Drosophila melanogaster: one gene and its partner. The protein of the gene in region 2 purifies or fractionates together with the protein of the main gene of each other region. This does not show direct contact. Each region holds a gene or a part of one and is shown on either strand. Other genes may lie near its edges. The genes, in order: Pur-alpha and fs(1)K10.

Region 1 (5,027 bases), on a different chromosome or scaffold from region 2:
TTGTTGCAATTAAAAAAAAAAATTGAAAAAAGCGAAATGTTTGATTTTCGAACATTTTCGAACTTTTTCGAAAATTCTTATCTCAAAAACTGGACGTGGGCAAAAAAAACTAATTGGGCAAAAAATGGGCAAACGATTCCAGCTTTCAAATTTCAAAAATTATATTTTTTCCGAACCCAGCTTCTTTGAGCTGTAAAGTTTTCGTATTTAAAATAATATTGATAAAAATAAACATTTTACAATGGGACTGTATATACCTAGAGAAGCGTAGTAATCGCTAAATGAGGATAAATGGTCACGAAATTCGGCTGCAGTTGAAAGAGCCAAGTAAATTTGACTTCGTCTACCATCAGCGCCAATCTGAAATTTTTAAAGCTGTTATACATAACGTTCCATGGTTGTGAATTTTATCAAAAGGTGCTGTTATACAAATCAAACAAAAGCTTTTCTTTATAAAATAGAAGTGATAACAAAATTCTAATCAGATGATTTACCTCAGCAACCTTTATAAAACGGCCTCTTCTATTTTGTTTTACATCCAAATAAAATCGTTTAGATTGTATTTGCAACATTTTCGTAGCCAATTCCTGTTCGACGCCGCTTCCTCCTGACGCGAAAGAATGTGACGTGTTCAGATAGTATAAATTATACATGTGGCATTTTTACCTTTAGCAGAAGAATCGAAGTCGTTCCTACTTGAGGAACCCTCCATATTTGCAACATTATATTCTAAAATATGGAAGTTGTTATATATTTATTAATATGCGGCTCACTTACTTGATCCTGAGATGCCATCATCTCCACTTCCCAAATCGGACATTACGAGACCACCTATTTATAAAATCTCGAAGCTTGGTAGATAGTTACGCTTCCTTCCTTTTCAGCGACACACTTTTAATGTTACACTACTCTTGTGCCTCAACACGACAGCATATAGTTAATAGTATAACCATTCTTTTTGTCCGGTGTACAACATTCCCCTGCTTTAAATATAATATAGATAATTATGATTAATATCGTAGAGTAGCAGCACAGCAGCTGTGTTTGTTTTTTTTTCTGTAAATTCGTTTTTGTTTACTAACTTCCTTTAATACCTAAATCATATGAGTAAATTTCGTAGGATCTAATTTTGGCTACATAGAATAAAAATATACCGACCTAACAATCTTACCTATAGTACCTACCATATTGTATGTTAATATACATACATATATCCTGCCAAAACATATCACAGTGGACGAAAGTCCTCGTAGTGACGTTGCGCAGCAAGATAGTGTCCAAAGGCGACAACTATATATGTATGTACATGATGAAATGCATATGCAGATGCAAAAACTTAAGGGCTTGCATCCAAGACCATTACATGTGTATATCGTTCGGAAGAGAAGCGGTGAAAGTGAAAATACTATACTATTTTAAAATTGTAAGCCGCGTTCCCAAAACGATCACAGCATAATATATTTTTTTTAATATTCTACGTGCTTTCTCGGAACACTTGCATGAAAGGCCAGCGAAATATATTGATAAATGGTGTCGAGTATACTTCAGATATTATAGTTTCCTAGTTGAATATAAAATAATTTTTCGTTATAAAAGTACAAATCAGAATTTTTGTATATTCGTTTTTGTTCAATCGTCAGAAGTTAATACCTCGTTAGTTGTTTTTGTTTAATCATGCTGTGACGCCAAGATCTATCTAAAGAGTTACAAATATACATGTAAATATGTATGTATATATTCTTGTTCAGGATGGCATGAATTAATTTTTACTTTTTACATTAAAATTTATTAAAATTCATAAAGCTTGTAAAATGTTCAATGACCTTTAGCATTAAAATGTATATTGATGTAATTTTTCTTTACTTATTTTGAAAAGATTTTATTCACTTTTAGTTTGAAATTTCTTTTTACCAAACGGTATTAATTTAAACAATAAGAAGAATCCGTATAGACATATGTACATAAGTAAAGTCATAGGACGTAACGTACATATAAATGTAAATGCATATATAAATATATATATTATGTACATATTTATATATATATGTACACACATATATGCACATACATACACTTTGAACATGTCTACTTTTTTCCAAACTGCTTATAACGTTCTTGTACATACATAAATAAATAATTTTTCCAAGGCATTATATTTATCTGGCAATAAATTATGTGTAATTCCCTGTCAATTGAGTGAACTACCAGTCCAGGAATTCATAAATTTGTATAAACAAACTAATATCCCGTTAAGTACAGGAATTAGATGTTTACATTGCATGAGTACGTGTTTGACATGTATCAGCTGTTCACCATCGCATTCGTTGAATTGATTCGACTACCCAAGAAAACAGTTTCAAGGTTTTTGCATGTGTACATATGTATGTATGTATGTATGCCACTACGGGTAAAACCATTTTACACACACAATTTGAACTTAGCAAGCTGATTTTTGTATACATATTCATCTAATACGAGCGAATACGGGAACTCAAACTTGAATTCAACATTGTCATAAAACAGTTTATGTAATAAATTGGGAAAATGTGCACCAAATACGAAAGGTGGGAACTTTTTAAATGGAGCTTCCAAAAGTACACATATTAGCAATGCACACTTAAAAATATATGTAAGTGCTCATGAAAGGAGTGCTAGAGCCAACTGCAAATAAATGGAGGAGCTTTATACTGTTTCCTACTGCAACACTGGGTATTTTTACTCTAGCACTTAAGTTCTTAAACTTAAGTCCAGGAAGAAAAAAATTATAAAAAACGTACAACATCTACACACACACGCACTGCCCCTTACAAATGACATCGACACTCCCTTATTTTATTTGTTCGTCGGATAAAACTGAAAATTCGTAGGTTCAGAACGGAGGGGAATGGAGCCCAAAAGAGCTGAAATACCTTAACGCCTTTGTAGGAAGACTGATGCAAATCCGAGTTTTGGAGTGTTTTTGAGTCACAGCGAAAGCTTGAGCATGTTGTACAGTCAATGTTTATGTGTAGATTGAGTAAAATGGCCTAGTTTGATTTGATTTGACTAGCCATCCAAAAGGAACGCTCGATCTATGTACGTGTAGAATCCGGCAGAACGCGTTAGGGAATTTCTCGGAGCTCCGTTGCGAGCACGTAACGAAAGACAACGTAACCCATCCAACGCGTCGTCTGACCGAAAAAGCTCCGATAAACTGCAAATAAGTCAGCAAAGCTCCTTTTTCCTAGTCTTTCTATTTGCGGCGTTATTGGTGTTGGTTGCTGTTTGTGGTTCGTCGTGCATGAGCAGCAGAAAGTGGAAAATTATAATAAATCTCATCCAGAATTCTGTTTTGATTCCGATACATCGCGAATTTAAATTAACGACTAAACGTGCAACGGTGCTGTGAGGCAAATTAATAAATTCTGCGGCATACTACTGTTCTTCGGGTGTGTGTGTATTCATACACGACATGTGTGCACATACATATGTCTGCATGTACATTCGAAATTGAAATTATGCAAAATGTGCATCATACTGCGAACGCTAGTTAAGGAGCAGTGCTTCAATTGCTACTTCGATGGAAATGTAACTGTTACGTACTGTGTTCGCGATTTCCCCCGTACTTATCCTGTGCCTAAACCGTCGAGCGAAACGTGAGTATATGACCACCTATATACTCACACATTTTCTACATAAATACAAATACACGCAAACTTATTTTTGTTGGTCGTCTCTCAGTTCTCTCCTCGTTTATGGTCATTCTCCGTTCCTCTCGCTGCCATCTGCCACATCCACTTTGGAAAGCGAAAACAGAAACAGCATCTCTGTGAACCCACAGAAATACATATGTAAAGCAGATATGTACATAGATGTGTATATATGGATGTGAAAAAACGAGAAGAGTAGCGACTAGTCTTTTATCTTTTATTTTGGTATCGGGACTGTATTTCGTATCCGTAAATCCGAATCCAAATTGTCGGGACAGCACAGACTAGAGTATAAAGAATAGTATAAGTAAAAATAAATTGATACATACACTTATAGATGTATGTGCGCAAATGTACAATACACCCTGTCAATGCTTTTAATTCGTATTCGTATTTGTGTATATTTTGACTTATTTTAAAATATATCACAATGCCCTTGTAGTCGGAACTCCGCCTTATCGGGCTCAAAAATGACTAATCCCTTCCAAGCTTTAATCATGTGCGTACCTGTAGAATCCTAGATTCTTGAGGATAGTGCTGCTATATTGTTTTCTTTCCTTTCGTGAACAGGGAGTTTCTAAGAAAAAGTTATGTAAAATTAGTCCGAAAAATAAAAATTTTTGGTCTGCCTTGATAGCCCCAGCGATTTTCAAAACTGCTTCCACATGTTATTTTTGAACGCCAATATTCTGTTAACTGAAATATTAGGAGCTAAAAGACAAACACTCCGCAAATAAGAGTGCTTTACTCAATTTTACGTCGCAGAACGTAATATCTAAACGTGAAATTGAAGGTGTTGTCAGTCCGATTTTTTCCTCGCCAAGGGAAATTTCTGTTTAACTTGAGGGATTTAGACAGGGTAAAATCTGGATATACTCGTATATTTACATATGTATAGCCGCTTTCCCGCTGAAGTAGCGTAGTTTTTCATAATGGTTACAACTAATGTTTAAAATACCGACCTGTGTGACAGAAAACAAATAGGATTTAAAAAACGTGTCGTTGCAGACAAAACACGCGACAGAAATTTACAGTTTAAAGAACTAATCAAAATTTGTTAATAATTTTTGTGGCTGAAGTTAATCTTCACCGGTTTTTCTTCGAACCATTAATTTTTTTAAAATGACAAAACCTCAGAATCTTTCAATTCTTCGTGTGTATGTATGTGTGTAGTCGATTCGGCATTGTTCTGGTGGGCTTCGTCAGTACTTCCGTCCACAGTGGAATCAAGAAAGTTAAGTTGGATTGAAGAGTTGTCACTCCAACGCCACAGCTTTTTGAAATGTTTTGAATTTATTTAATTTATTATATGTTTTGCGACCTTTTTCCGTTTACACA
Region 2 (6,539 bases):
TCGATCCGGGCGAACGACCACGCGGACGCAACTCAAAGTAGTGCCAAATACGAAAATACTGGCAAAGGTGCGGAAAGTGCCCTGTGCGATATTCACTTCCTTCCTCAAGGCAGAAATCTCCTCGGGATCGCCCACCAGCCGGGCTCTAGCGTCCATGAGCCTTAGGAGAGAGCGAATCTCATGGAGCTGCTTCCTCACCATGTACACATTCGCAAACTTCAAATTGGCCACAATATCGGTAATAGTTATGGTCAGGTTCTCGCACAATCCGGCCATGTTGGTGGTGAACAGCAGCCTGGCCAGCAAGCTCAAGGGAAACAGCACGGTGACCACCAAGTTGACCGTAATGGAGTATACCACGTAAAGCAGGCTTGAAACGCCCGGAGGACGCATCAGGCCAGTGAGCTCCCAAACGCGCCAGTGGTAGTACACAGCACTGTGGGTGTTCAGTTTGAAATCCTCTTGCTTCTCCATTGTCTCGGTTACCTTTGGGCAAATCCATGGGTTCTATTGCCTATATACTCTTGCGATTACCAGTGATTGCGCTATTAGCTATTAGATGGATTGTTGGCCAAACTTGTCGCTTAAGTGGCTGGGAATTGTAACCGTAGGCCCGAGTGTAATGATCCCCCATAAAAAGTTTTCGCAATGCCTTTATTTTTTGTTGCAAATCTCTCTTTATTCTGCGGTATTCTTCATTATTGCGGGGATGGGGAAAGTGTTTATATAGAAGCAACTTACGATTGAACCCAAATGCACCTGACAAGCAAGGTCAAAGGGCCAGATTTTTAAATATATTATTTAGTCTTAGGACTCTCTATTTGCAATTAAATTACTTTGCTACCTGAGGGTTAAATATTCCCCATTGATAATAATAATTCCACTATATGTTCAATTGGGTTTCACCGCGCTTAGTTACATGACGAGCCCTAACGAGCCGTCGGTGGTCTATAAACTGTGCCTTACAAATACTTGTAACTCTTCTCGTTTTGAAGTCAGCAGAGTTATTGCTAATTGCTAATTGCTAATTGCTTTTAACTGATTTCTTCGAAATTGGTGCTATGTTTATGGCGCTATTAACAAGTATGAATGTCAGGTTTAACCAGGGGATGCTTAATTGTGTTCTCAACTTCAAAGGCAGAAATGTTTACTCTTGACCATGGGTTTAGGTATAATGTTAACTGGTTGGGAGATTGGTGCTATACTAGAGTTTTTACGTTGGGTCCCCTAGGCTCTACTATTCCGCTAAGTGGGGCTGCTTTGGCGTTACTTGTCAGGTGGATCCGGTCATGAAGATCAAGAGCGTGATTAATCTACAAGTCGGTAAAGAGAACAGCGGAATTGGGTCAGGGACGGGGTTGGGTGGGGAAAAAGAACACAAAAACAAATCCGTAGATGCACACCATCGAGCACACGTTCACAGAGTGATCTTAATTTGTAGTTTTTAAGAATTAATTTAAAAATACAATCAAGTGGTGTAATCTAAGGCCTACAGTGTGATTTATGCCAGAGTGCTTAGGATCCGGCCACTCTGTTTCAATTATGTCGCGCCCACGCACTCGGGCAACGAATAGGAAAATAATTTATATATATATATATATCAATATATATGCATACATATATAGGTAAGGGCGTGTCATAAATTGTGTACACATACTTGAAATGGCTGCAACTTAGAATTGAACAACAAATAGTTTTCGAATAGGAAACTGGTACGTTACGTTACGTTACGGTTACATTTCAATACTCTACTTTACGTTACGCTAGGTTACGTTAGACAAGTGAATCGATTCGCAATCTAAATTTTTATCGCTATTACTAGAGTTTCGCCCACATTATTATCGCTGGGTTTGTATTTGTTGCTACATTATCGTTCTAAGCTCAGTTCTCAGTCGCAAAAGCAACGTGTGACAAAGGCGGCGCCTCCTCGGATTACGATTGTGTATACGTATATCCGATATAGGAGTCGGGGTTTTGAGTTATATTCGTCTTCAATTGTCAGACTCTTGCTGTTGCTCGCTGTTAGTTTTAGTTTTGAATTGCTCATTGGTTTAAAGTTTAAGTTTACATTTAGTTCTGTGAGTCGACCGACCTCTTCTTTAGTCGGTTCGATTCGATTGATTCGGTATTCGGATTCGGTTGCATTGGCTGCCTAGGGATTTGGAATTGTTGCATCTTTAGCGCTTCCGGCCTTAGGGGCTGCGCTCTGACTTGAAATTGCGTTTTTGTCTTTGTCTGACTTGGCATCCTGCAAAAGAAATACGAGAATTGCCAACGGTGTTCAATAGCAAGGTTGTTGAGTGTGTAAAAAGAGCTCTCAGATCTGTTTTCGCTATTAAATGCATTCTGCGAACTTCTCTTGGCTATTTCCAGATAACTACGCCCACGAACATTAATCACTCAAATCATTATCATTTCATATGCAATGAGTTTCATAAGTTGGGTTATATCTGCTAATTAAGTAACTAAATTGATGTTCTGGCAGTTTAAAATTCATTAAGTTCGCTTTTCACATGCCAACCAAATTGGAAAATGAAAACAGCCATAGGATTCAGTACTGAGGCTCGTTCAATTAAGAATATTAAGTTACTAAGAGTGCATTTATGAATCTACTACGCCTGCCACGATCGAACAGTACAAAATTCTATTAGTTTTTTAAATTTGTATACAAGGTGGCAGTAAACACATTGTATTGCAGTTCTAAATAGTTACACAATTTTGTTCAGTTCCTAATAAATCTATGGTTGTAAATATATGCCAATAGTTTCTCTTTTGCGGATATATATCAGTGCCAAGGGAACAACCGAAGGTGAAAATAGATATGACAACAACCTTCCGCAGGACTGCAGGATAATGCGAGAGAGTGCATCAGGTTGAGACTTACTTTTTCACTTTCTCTGCTCTCTTATTTTTTTCCTACCGCCCGGCAAACGCAACAAAGAGGGACGGGTGGGGGTTACGGATCAAATCAGGGGTGCAAAGTGATTCCGGATTAAGCCGAAACTGTACCCGGAATCGGTGTGCCTCCCTGAATAGAGCTTCGGATGGGACACCTGTTCCAAGGGAATAAGGATATGTTGGGGGGTCTCTATATGCTCACCTTGGCCTTGACAGTGGCTGCCTCCTGCTTGAGATACTCTTCCCGCGCCGCTTCGTAGAGACTAACGAACTTGTCCCGCTGGCCCTTGTACTGAGCGAAGAGCTCGTCGTCTTTGTGGCCCTTCAATCTGTTCTCGATGTCCACCTTCTTGTCGTGCTCGCTGCGTATCTCGTCCGTTACCCAGGGCTTTTCGATGGGATACTGATTGATCAGGTTCTTTAGTGTCTTTATGCTGCTCTTGCCTTTCACCACCTGCTTGATTAGCTTGGGATTGGGCTTCATTATCCGGCCGCCATTCATGTTCATTGGTCCATAAGGTCCGACCGGTGGAATTCCCCGCGGCGGCATCCGTGGACCCATCATGTGCATGGGCGGTGGGACACCCATCATAGGACCTGGACCGGGTCCGTTGCGACGCATAAAGAGCGGTGGCGGCGGCGGTGGTGGTCCACCCATGGGGCCCATGGGTCCGGGACCGCGCATACCAGGCACCGGTGGCGGGAAAGGCATTTGCGGGTAAGGTCCTCCAGGGCCCATCGGTCCGGGTCCCCGTGGTCCGGGGCCCATCGGACCCATTGGCGGACCCATCATGAGGCGTGGAGGAGGACGGTTCGGAGGCGGCCCGCGTTGGAATCCATTAAAGCCACCGCGAATCTGATTGGGATTGTTGCCCGGATGGCGCTGCCAATCGCTTCCGTTCATCTGATTGTTGAAGGGCTGCTGCGACTGGTTCATATGATTGTTGTTCTGGTTGTTCATCTTGCCCTGCTGCTGGTTCGGACTGAGATGCTGCTGCTGGTTCGAATTGGGATGCTGCTGCTGGTTCGGACTGGGATGCTGCTGCTGGTTCGGACTGGGATGCTGCTGCTGGTTCGGACTGGGAGGCTGCTGCTGGTTCGGACTGGGATGCTGCTGCTGTTTGATGCCCTTCATAGACTTCTTCTTGGGACTGCCTACCTGATTGTGTTTGAATCCTGGTGGCGGGCTGCTGAAGTCAATGTACAGGGGATCGCTCGGCATTTGGCTGGAGGAAAACATCATCTGATTGTTACCGTTGACCCTGTTACCATTCCCATTTCCTCCTGGTCCGGAGTTAATTTTGCCCGAACGAAACGGTTTTCTATACGGAGCCGCAGCTGCGCGGGGATTATTGTTGCAATTATTATTGTTGCTCTGGTTGTTGCGGTGCTGCAGATTTGGCTGCTGCTGTTGCTGAAACTGTTGCTGCATTTGGTGCGGGTGCTGCTGCTGCGACTGCATGGTCCAGTTCTGATAGAATTGGTTCTTGGACACCATTGCAGGTAGCTGGATTTCACTGAAAACGGGGGTTCAGGACTCGAGCAGAGGAGCCAAGCCGAAACGACAGGCGGGGAGCAGATGGATCTAAAATGTTGCACGCCTATTTGTCACAAAAACTTATATTGAAAATATTACGATGAATCGATTGCGATAACGTTTCGATACCAGTGCTGTCGAAGGAGTGTGAACAACTATAACAATCAGTTTTTCCCACTAATGTATGTTTCCACTAACACAAATGTAACATCACAGCACATTTTAGAGTATCTCAACTTTTGTTATCGCCTGCGCTGTTATCGATAAGCGTACTTCGCACGTGTGATTTAAATCAATGTTTATATTATTGCCCAAAGTTAATTCTGTTACTTTATTTTATTAACTATATTGGTAAAGTAAAGTAATCATGGGCAAGAAGGTGCACAATGCCAAGGCGCGGCAGAATCCACAAACAATTGTGGACAACTCGGCCGTGAAGAAGGTAGGTCATCCGTCGGACCACACACTCGAATCCGCTTTCTTACCCTTTCCAAATCCAATACTCTACAGATTCAGATCGATGTGGATGCTGTGGCCGGCGGCAACCAGGTTGGCTACGATGAGGCCAACGCTCTGGTTCTGCCCTCCGAGAAGCGGGCCACCAAGATTAAGGTGGACAAAGTGCAACACGTGAAGATCCTTTCCAAGAAGCAGCGCAAGCACCTCCAGGCTATTGTGGACAAGAAGAAAAAGAAAGAGGGTGTAGGTTTTTATTCAGTGCTAATATAAAACTGATATTTAATTGAAATCTTTTCTAATTTAGCGCGCTCAGCTGTTGGGTGACCTTGCTGCCGTTCAAATTCCGGAGGAGGAGCTGCAGCAGTATACTTCCATTAGCCAAGTGCAAACCGTGGGATTAAAGCGTCTACCCACCCTTGACGAGTATCTAGCCAAGAAAAAGGAAAGACAGGCCCAAGTTTTAGCTGAAAAAAGCTCGGCGTCGGGTCTCCGCGTAAATGCTATAAAGGGCTCCAAGCGCAAGCTTCTCGTCGAAGAGGAGGAGGAACTACAGGCCAAGCGAAAGAATCCGAATGTAATTAGCGTGGAGGAAGATGACGAAGATTCTTCATCCTCTGATGAGGACGATGAGGAGGCACCAGCTCAATCCGCTCCTATTGCCATACCCACTCCAGTGTCTATAGCTCCACCGCAAATCGCTGTTAAACCACCCATTAAAAAGTTGAAGCCAGAGCCTAACCCACCTGCCTGTATCCACCAGACTGTCTATGTGCCCGTACATCGGACAACAGAAGTTCAGAATGCCCGTCTTCGACTGCCTATCCTCGCGGAGGAGCAGCAGGTGATGGAGACAATCAACGAAAACCCCATTGTGATCGTGGCTGGTGAGACTGGCTCTGGAAAGACTACCCAGCTACCGCAGTTCCTGTACGAAGCGGGGTATGCCCAGCACAAGATGATTGGAGTGACGGAGCCGCGGCGAGTGGCTGCTATTGCCATGTCCAAGCGGGTGGCCCACGAGATGAACCTGCCGGAGAGCGAGGTGTCATACCTCATTCGCTTCGAGGGAAACGTAACACCAGCGACGCGCATTAAATTCATGACAGATGGTGTGTTGCTTAAGGAGATCGAAACTGACTTTCTGCTTAGTAAGTACTCAGTGATCATCCTGGACGAGGCGCACGAGCGCAGTGTTTACACAGACATCCTAGTGGGTCTCCTGTCAAGGATCGTGCCCTTGCGTCACAAACGCGGGCAGCCGCTGAAGCTGATCATTATGTCTGCCACTTTGCGGGTATCCGATTTTACAGAGAATACTCGCTTGTTTAAGATTCCGCCACCGTTGCTTAAAGTGGAGGCTCGACAATTTCCGGTGACTATTCACTTCCAGAAGCGCACACCTGATGACTATGTGGCGGAGGCTTACCGCAAGACCTTAAAAATCCATAATAAGCTTCCGGAAGGCGGCATACTAATTTTTGTGACGGGACAGCAGGAGGTCAACCAACTGGTGCGCAAGCTGCGACGTACGTTTCCGTATCATCATGCGCCAACCAAGGATGTCGCTAAAAATGGAAAGGTATCGGAGGAAGAAAAAGAGGAAACAATAGATGATGCGGCATCGACTGTGGAGGATCCCAAGGAG

Evidence for each region.
Region 1: the proteins of fs(1)K10 (region 2) and Pur-alpha purify together in Drosophila melanogaster (affinity purification with mass spectrometry, with the first as the bait; one large-scale study listed by BioGRID). This does not show direct contact.

What each region holds. Positions count from the first base shown.
Region 1 is NC_004353.4:556,051-561,077, reverse strand, and holds the start of Pur-alpha (Purine-rich binding protein-alpha), read right to left. Parts: upstream 3,063-5,027; 5' UTR 2,910-3,062; intron 2,856-2,909; exon of another isoform or gene 2,778-2,855; intron 1,415-2,777; exon of another isoform or gene 1,185-1,414; intron 984-1,184; 5' UTR 821-983; coding exon 778-820; intron 730-777; coding exon 667-729; intron 608-666; coding exon 495-607; intron 361-494; coding exon 258-360; intron 1-257.
Region 2 is NC_004354.4:2,240,166-2,246,704, reverse strand, and holds fs(1)K10 (female sterile (1) K10), read right to left. Parts: upstream 4,568-6,539; 5' UTR 4,397-4,567; coding exon 3,101-4,396; intron 2,249-3,100; coding exon 2,153-2,248; 3' UTR 664-2,152; downstream 1-663. Other genes in the region: Or2a (odorant receptor 2a), read right to left, coding at 1-474; kz (kurz), read left to right, coding at 4,803-4,877, 4,946-5,137, 5,199-6,539. UniProt on the Drosophila melanogaster protein: May be involved in localization of sqd to the oocyte during oogenesis.